2 linked regions of the Saccharomyces cerevisiae S288C genome follow. The protein of the gene in region 1 binds, or shares a complex with, the protein of each later gene. Each region holds a gene or a part of one and is shown on either strand. Other genes may lie near its edges. A codon is read from its position in the direction of its gene.

Region 1 (3,491 bases):
CATAACATCAATGCTATTCAAATTCGACTGGTCTGCATCTGCTGCAGGGGCTGTTGTTTCTAGGAGTCCTAATATACCGTTTGTTATATAATTGGAATGACTTGTTTCTGTGAATTTGACTATTTTTTCTCTTATTAATTTCAAACATCGGGTCCATTTTTCATCCAACGTATAAAATTTCAAAGTGAATAATCTGTCGGTTAAGAGATTTCGAAATTCTGATATGAAAAATTCTCTTGATTCAAATAGATCCAAAAGCACCTCAAACAAATTTGTCTTAATATAACTTGATTTGATGTTACCGGGAATCATGTCATTAGGCTCTGGTACCCAAGCTATATAATAATTGAGTATATGTTCGTATAGCATGGCGTGTCTTATTGGTAGGTCCTTGTTCAATTCCCTCTTTCCTTTCACCTTGAGGTTCCATAGAAAGGGGCTTTTTTTATTCTTGTCCCTTTTGGTGATGTTCGTATCTTGATTGATATCAGAATCGTGCAAAGTGTCTACAAGTGAGAGCAGTGCCTTCATATCTACATTGAAATTAATTTTCTCCTTTAGTTCTTCTTCAGGTAAGTCCAACATTGCGTATAACAATACATTTACTAAGTGCTTCCGCTCCTGAAAGTAAGGTTTAACAAACGTGGTTATTGAATGTAGGCATCTCCCTGTTGGATCCAGGACCAAAAATGCTTTGATAGTTTTAACATATCTCAACAAAGCGTCCACCGTAGTTACGCTGGGGTTTAGAATGTATTTCTTGAAATCAGACAAAAAAGTTGTTACAATATTTGTGTAGTCTTTAAAATCTTTCATAATTTTCCTCAATTCCAATAAAGTAACCTTTGAATCAGGATAAGCCAAAACGCATATATCAAAGATTTCATTCGTTCTTATCCTAAGAAAATTGGACTCAAAACAGTTGAAAACTGTAGTGGTCAGTTCGTGATCATCCTCTGGACAACCGACTAATTTAGAGAACTGAGACCAATATTGATTAATAAATTTGTTGAATGTTTCCATAATCATAAACCTTTTATTCCATACTCTACTCATGTTATCTTCACAAAATTTATTGATTTTGCTGTAAAGAGCATTGACTATCAATTCCGTAGAGGATAAGGAACCATTAGCAGATTTGAGCCATTGGATTAAATTGTCTGCCAGGTCGAAATCATCATCCATTATTAATTTGTCTAATCTTGTTCTTAAATTATTTTTGAACTTTATATTTCTATTCAACAGATAATGTCTTAAAGAATTAAGTTCAAGTGCCCAGTCGTTTACATTTACGTCAAAAATAGGAACGTAACGTAAAGGAAACTCGTAATAATTTTCCCATCGTTGGATATCTTTTAGATAATTAATGTTGTTAAAATGTAAGAAAAAATGATAACGAACCTGGAAAATATAAAACTCTTTGAGCGTGGAAAAAAGTTGTAGTTGTAACTCTTTGTTTGTATTTCCCTCATTAACTATTGAATTGTTTGCCTGACTAGTGTTTATCATGCTATATGGCGATGTGGTTGCGTTATTAGGGAAGAGAACCTTAATGATATTCTTAATACGAAGGCTTGGAGGACGTAGTTGATGGTTACTCTTGGCATCATTAGGGCTCATCCATGTAAGTAAAGAGTTCAAATCATCGACTATGTTTGTGTGAAAGATGTATGAGGAAAGTGTTTGTAACTCATCTGTAATAACTTTCAAATCTCGAGTTGGGGTAATCTGAAATGACATGATGGAAAAACCTTAACTATAAGCCATAAATATTTACAGTCCCGCTAAGTCTGGCTTTCGTCTAGTTTTCGATATTTTGGCTCTTTTGTCTATTACTGTTTTTGTAACCAAAGGTTTGAAAATTTAGATGCAACTAATGAACTTACGCAGTAACATGCAAGTACCCAATAAAAAAAGAAATTTTTGAAGAGACGTTCTTGCATTCAGGACATGGTATGTTTTTAATTTCGTTTCTTTAGTTCTCAGGCTCTTCAAAGTACTAACACTTTATTGGCAAGGGGCGCTCAAATGTGATGCATCATTATAGAGTAATAATAAAATAAAAAGAAAGGATGCAAGCCCGGAACAAGAGGCAATTGAATCATTCACCTCATTAACCAAATGTGACCCCAAGGTATCCAGGAAGTACCTGCAGCGTAATCACTGGAACATCAATTACGCTCTCAATGATTATTATGACAAGGAAATAGGGACGTTTACTGACGAGGTTTCAACTGTGGCTCATCCACCCGTATACCCGAAGGAGCTAACACAGGTATTTGAACACTATATCAATAACAACTTGTTTGATATAGACTCACTGGTCAAGTTCATTGAGGAGCTAGGCTACAATCTTGAAGATTTAGCGACATTATGCTTAGCCCATTTACTGGGGTACAAGAAACTAGAAGAACCCTTAAAACGAGAGGACTTCCTGTCAACATGGTTTATGCAAGGCTGTTCCACCATTTCAGACATGCAAGAGTGCATCAAGACGTTAGATGTTAAATTACATGAAGACTTACAATATTTCACACAGATTTATAACTATGCTTTCAATTTGATTCTGGACCCAAATCGAAAGGATATAGATACAGACGAAGGCATCCAGTATTGGAAGCTATTTTTCCAACCAGAGTACCCAGTGCGTATGGAACCAGATTTGCTTGAGGCATGGTTCCGTTTCCTTCGCGATGAGGGGAAAACCACTATAAGTAAAGACACCTGGCGTATGCTGCTCCTCTTTTTCAAACGATACCCCACTATTCAGAAAATAATAAGCGATTACGACGAAACTGCAGCCTGGCCATTTATTATCGATGAGTTCTATGAGTGCTTACAGGATCAGCAATAAACATCCTTTCATATACTTAAGGGTATGCTGTTTAATATTGCATGGAATACGTTACCCTTCTAAGATAGATGGGAATAAGGCGGAAATAAAAAACGCGATGAGCAGTGGAAAATTTTTCAGAAATTTTCAGTTCCCTCATAATATAGATGTAGATATTGTATAAGGTCGTACGTATATCAGAGTAGCCACTAGAAGGACCAGAGAAACTGGAATAAGAGCTATTATGGTCAAATCATACCAACGTTTTGAGCAAGCAGCTGCTTTTGGTGTAATAGCCTCCAATGCCAATTGTGTTTGGATACCTGCGTCATCCGGAAATAGTAATGGTAGTGGACCAGGACAATTGATTACGAGTGCTCTCGAGGACGTTAATATATGGGATATTAAGACCGGGGATTTGGTCAGTAAATTATCCGATGGCTTACCTCCAGGCGCATCTGATGCTAGAGGCGCCAAGCCAGCCGAGTGTACATATTTGGAGGCTCATAAAGATACGGATTTATTAGCTGTCGGTTACGCAGATGGTGTCATTAAAGTTTGGGATTTGATGTCTAAGACTGTGCTTTTGAATTTTAACGGTCACAAAGCAGCTATAACATTATTACAATTTGATGGGACTGGCACAAGATTAATTTCT
Region 2 (4,881 bases), on another chromosome or scaffold:
AAATTAAGACTTCAGGATAAGGGCACCGTTGATGGAAATGTTACCGATGATAAAAATCTTCCAAAAGAGTTTAAATGGGGCCAGTTTGCATCTACCATCGGCTGTCATTCTGCATACACTAGAGACCAAAACTACAATCCTAGTCACAAATCCTACGATGGTTACTCTCTATCATCATCTACCTCATCAAAAAATGCGGCTCTTAGAGAAATTTTAGGTGACATGTGCAGCGAGTGGGGAGGTGAAGAACGACTAGAAGGTGTTCTACATTCAGAAATAGGTGCCAATTTAGAGTTCAACACGACAGAAGAGAGAAAAGAGTGGTTACAATATATCGAAAAGGTAAAAGATTTCTATTACGGTGATAATAAGAAGAACCCAGAATCACCCGAATCAGTACACAACAAAGTTTACAAGTCAGATTGGGTAAATGAGCTCAATAAAGAGAGAGAAAAGTGGCGGAGGTTAAAGCAAAGGAAGTTACAACAGTGGAGACCTCCTTTGACGTCGCTATTACTTGATAATCAATATTTGATTTTGGGTTTGAGGATTTTCACTGGTATATTATCGTGCATTTCACTTGCTCTGGCAATCAAGATTTTTCAAAACTCAAGATCAAATAACACCATCAGTGAAAGTAAAATCGGGCAACAACCAAGCACCATAATGGCCATCTGCGTCAACGCCGTGGCGATTGCGTATATTATTTACATTGCACACGATGAATTTGCTGGTAAACCTGTTGGTTTGAGGAATCCGTTAAGCAAACTGAAACTAATTTTGTTGGACTTACTTTTTATAATTTTTTCAAGCGCTAATCTAGCGCTGGCATTTAATACTCGTTTCGACAAAGAGTGGGTTTGCACTTCTATTCGCAGGTCAAATGGAAGCACGTATGGATACCCAAAAATACCGCGTATCTGCAGAAAACAGGAAGCTTTATCCGCTTTTCTGTTCGTTGCCTTGTTTATGTGGGTAATCACTTTCTCGATCAGTATTGTTAGAGTAGTCGAAAAAGTCAGTTCAATTACCAACAGAAACTGAGCTCGACAAATATAGAAATTAAAAGAATTCTTTTAGATACCAAGATTGACATTTATATGCATTGTATATTTTTGACTTAAAAAATTACTCCGGCTTGGCATTTATTCATTAACGGCGGGTTTGATTATATTAGGCTTTGTGCGATATAATATGTATTACCCGAAGGGAGGGCTATTGCACTTTCTTTTCCTTTCCGTTTTAAGGGCCCTTTTTCATTTCGATGTTTGATGGACACACATGAAGTGAAATGTGGCAAATAGAACATCTAGAAAAACTAGGGCATTAGGTAAAGTACCCCAGCAGAACTTCACTTTACAACGCAATTGATTCATATCACTGCTCTTTTATATTGTCCTTTTTCTCTTTTAGAGCTTTTCATCCGCATCTTCTAACTTCTGTGCACCCCTTTCATTGTTGATTACATTTTACCTCAGTTACACATTTCTTTTAGCAATTCGACATTGCTTCTACTTACCGATAAATAAGCGTACATTTTTGAGTCTTGAAAGGATTCTTACATATACCTAAACAAAGAATAACAACAAAATCGCAAGCAGCAAAGCATGTCTGAGACTCTGCCTAGATCTGATGATTTAGAGGCCACTTGGAACTTTATAGAGCCAGGAATTAACCAAATACTGGGTAATGAGAAAAACCAAGCATCCACGTCTAAGCGAGTTTACAAAATTCTTTCTCCAACCATGTATATGGAAGTCTATACCGCAATTTATAACTACTGTGTGAACAAATCACGCTCGTCTGGACATTTTAGTACTGACAGTAGAACTGGCCAATCAACAATTTTGGTTGGCAGTGAGATTTACGAAAAGTTAAAGAATTATTTGAAGAATTACATTTTAAATTTTAAGCAGTCTAATTCAGAGACCTTTTTGCAGTTTTACGTCAAGCGCTGGAAAAGGTTTACAATAGGTGCCATTTTTTTAAACCATGCATTCGATTATATGAATAGATATTGGGTTCAAAAGGAAAGAAGTGACGGCAAAAGGCATATTTTTGATGTAAACACCTTGTGCTTGATGACATGGAAAGAAGTCATGTTTGATCCGAGTAAAGATGTTTTAATAAACGAATTATTAGACCAGGTAACCTTGGGAAGGGAGGGGCAAATAATTCAAAGAAGTAATATTAGCACTGCCATAAAGTCTTTAGTTGCACTAGGTATCGATCCACAGGATTTGAAAAAGTTGAACCTAAATGTCTACATCCAAGTTTTCGAAAAGCCATTTTTAAAGAAGACTCAGGAGTACTACACGCAATATACAAACGATTATTTAGAGAAACACTCGGTAACTGAGTATATTTTTGAAGCACATGAAATCATCAAACGTGAGGAAAAAGCAATGACAATATATTGGGATGATCATACAAAAAAACCACTATCCATGGCATTAAACAAGGTCTTGATCACAGACCATATTGAAAAGTTGGAAAATGAGTTTGTTGTCCTTCTGGATGCCAGAGATATTGAAAAAATTACTTCTTTGTACGCACTAATACGCAGAGACTTTACATTAATCCCAAGAATGGCTTCAGTGTTTGAAAATTATGTTAAAAAGACAGGTGAGAATGAAATTTCGAGTCTACTGGCAATGCATAAACACAATATTATGAAAAACGAAAACGCAAACCCTAAAAAACTAGCACTAATGACAGCTCACTCCCTTTCTCCTAAAGACTATATCAAGAAATTACTGGAAGTACACGATATATTCTCTAAGATTTTTAATGAAAGTTTCCCCGACGACATACCTTTAGCTAAAGCTCTAGATAATGCGTGTGGTGCTTTCATCAACATCAACGAGTTCGCATTACCTGCTGGATCTCCAAAAAGTGCCACCTCGAAGACTTCCGAGATGCTAGCTAAGTACAGTGATATACTATTAAAGAAGGCCACCAAACCTGAAGTGGCAAGTGACATGTCAGATGAAGATATTATAACAATATTCAAATATTTGACCGACAAAGATGCGTTCGAAACTCATTATAGAAGACTTTTCGCCAAGCGTTTAATTCATGGCACTTCAACATCAGCAGAAGACGAAGAAAATATTATTCAAAGGCTGCAAGCGGCAAATAGTATGGAATATACAGGCAAGATAACTAAAATGTTTCAAGATATTAGACTTTCCAAGATCTTGGAAGACGATTTTGCTGTCGCCCTGAAGAATGAACCAGATTACTCTAAAGCAAAATATCCAGATCTACAACCATTTGTATTGGCAGAAAATATGTGGCCATTTTCATACCAAGAAGTTGAATTTAAGCTACCCAAGGAATTGGTACCATCTCACGAAAAATTGAAGGAGTCATACAGCCAAAAGCATAATGGTAGAATATTGAAGTGGCTATGGCCATTATGTCGTGGCGAATTGAAGGCAGATATTGGAAAACCCGGCAGGATGCCGTTCAACTTTACGGTAACACTGTTTCAAATGGCAATTTTGCTACTATATAACGATGCTGATGTATTAACCTTAGAAAATATTCAAGAGGGCACGAGCTTAACCATTCAGCACATCGCAGCGGCAATGGTACCATTCATCAAATTCAAACTGATTCAACAGGTCCCACCAGGGCTAGATGCTCTCGTGAAACCTGAAACACAATTCAAGCTATCACGTCCTTATAAGGCGCTTAAGACCAATATTAATTTCGCTAGCGGAGTCAAAAACGACATTCTGCAATCGCTATCCGGTGGAGGCCACGATAATCACGGTAATAAGTTAGGAAACAAACGCTTGACGGAAGACGAAAGAATAGAAAAAGAATTGAATACAGAAAGGCAGATTTTCTTGGAAGCTTGTATTGTGAGAATAATGAAAGCGAAAAGAAATCTGCCACATACAACATTGGTCAACGAATGCATTGCGCAATCACACCAAAGGTTCAATGCAAAGGTTTCTATGGTCAAGAGAGCCATCGATAGCTTAATACAAAAGGGATACCTACAGAGGGGAGACGATGGTGAATCGTATGCTTACCTTGCTTAATCATCTTTGAAGGCTTGTGCTGATCGAACGAAGCAAATCCTACGAGTAAATACATAAGCGTATACATATATATATATATATATATATATATATATATATGTATATATATATATGTGTGTGTGTGTAATTGTGTGTATTCAACTGAACTATGAAGAGTCTTTGACCTCTTGAGAATCTCATAGTATGAAGATATGGCACTTCTCTTTCCGTTGTAACATCCTTTACCGGGCGGCTTTTCGGCCTGCTTGAGAAGAGATCAGGCTGAAATGATGAGACTGACAACAAGGATCAGTCAGTGGCAGAGTTGAAATTCCGCTGGAAATCGTCACCAGCAGCTACCAGCTCCAAGAAATCCGCGTAGAAATCACGTCGCGCAATGTGCGATAGTGGTGGAACAGCGAAAATTAGTCACTTTGCAAAGATGCCAAGCTGATCGTTCTCGTTGTGTGTGATTCTACGATATTGCGCATGAGTGGTGTTGAGCATGCGTTTGTTCGCATTTTCATGCAGTCTCTTATATACTAATATATATATGCAACAGATTTCAAAATTTATCTTTCTTCTTGTTGCGTTTAGGCCTTTATTTGCTACACATTTAAAAGTGCAACGACAACCCAAGTAATTGTATACTTTAACAAACCATGTCTGAAAATAACGAATTCCAGAGTGTCACCGAATCGACGACTGCTCCAACCACTAGTAACCCATATGGCCCAAATCCTGCGGATTATCTATCCAATGTTAAGAATTTCCAGTTGATTGATTCAACACTAAGAGAGGGTGAACAATTTGCCAACGCATTCTTCGATACTGAAAAAAAGATTGA

Evidence for each region.
Region 2: the proteins of DCN1 (region 1) and CDC53 are in contact, whole or in part, in a crystal structure (PDB 3O6B), measured with the Saccharomyces cerevisiae proteins. Residues at the interface, in NP_013229.1 of Saccharomyces cerevisiae: Asp181 (codon at 2,585), Ser224 (codon at 2,714), Asp226 (codon at 2,720), Arg229 (codon at 2,729), Met230 (codon at 2,732), Leu233 (codon at 2,741), Arg237 (codon at 2,753), Glu250 (codon at 2,792), Thr251 (codon at 2,795), Ala252 (codon at 2,798), Ala253 (codon at 2,801), Trp254 (codon at 2,804), Pro255 (codon at 2,807), Phe256 (codon at 2,810), Ile257 (codon at 2,813), Asp259 (codon at 2,819); in NP_010150.1 of Saccharomyces cerevisiae: His767 (codon at 3,906), Val786 (codon at 3,963), Ser787 (codon at 3,966), Lys790 (codon at 3,975), Arg791 (codon at 3,978), Asp794 (codon at 3,987), Ile797 (codon at 3,996), Gln798 (codon at 3,999), Arg804 (codon at 4,017), Gly805 (codon at 4,020), Asp806 (codon at 4,023), Asp807 (codon at 4,026), Gly808 (codon at 4,029), Glu809 (codon at 4,032), Tyr811 (codon at 4,038).

Annotation. Positions count from the first base shown.
Region 1 is NC_001144.5:396,580-400,070, forward strand, and holds DCN1 (NEDD8 ligase DCN1), read left to right. Parts: upstream 1-1,950; coding exon 1,951-1,953; intron 1,954-2,047; coding exon 2,048-2,854; downstream 2,855-3,491. Other genes in the region: APC2 (anaphase promoting complex subunit 2), read right to left, coding at 1-1,740; snoRNA-binding rRNA-processing protein DIP2, read left to right, coding at 3,078-3,491. UniProt on the Saccharomyces cerevisiae protein: Required for neddylation of cullin components of SCF-type E3 ubiquitin ligase complexes. Neddylation of cullins play an essential role in the regulation of SCF-type complexes activity.
Region 2 is NC_001136.10:222,697-227,577, forward strand, and holds CDC53 (cullin CDC53), read left to right. Parts: upstream 1-1,607; coding exon 1,608-4,055; downstream 4,056-4,881. Other genes in the region: SRF1 (phospholipase D regulator), read left to right, coding at 1-1,044; homocitrate synthase LYS21, read left to right, coding at 4,697-4,881. UniProt on the Saccharomyces cerevisiae protein: Core component of multiple cullin-RING-based SCF (SKP1-CUL1-F-box) E3 ubiquitin-protein ligase complexes which mediate the ubiquitination and subsequent proteasomal degradation of target proteins.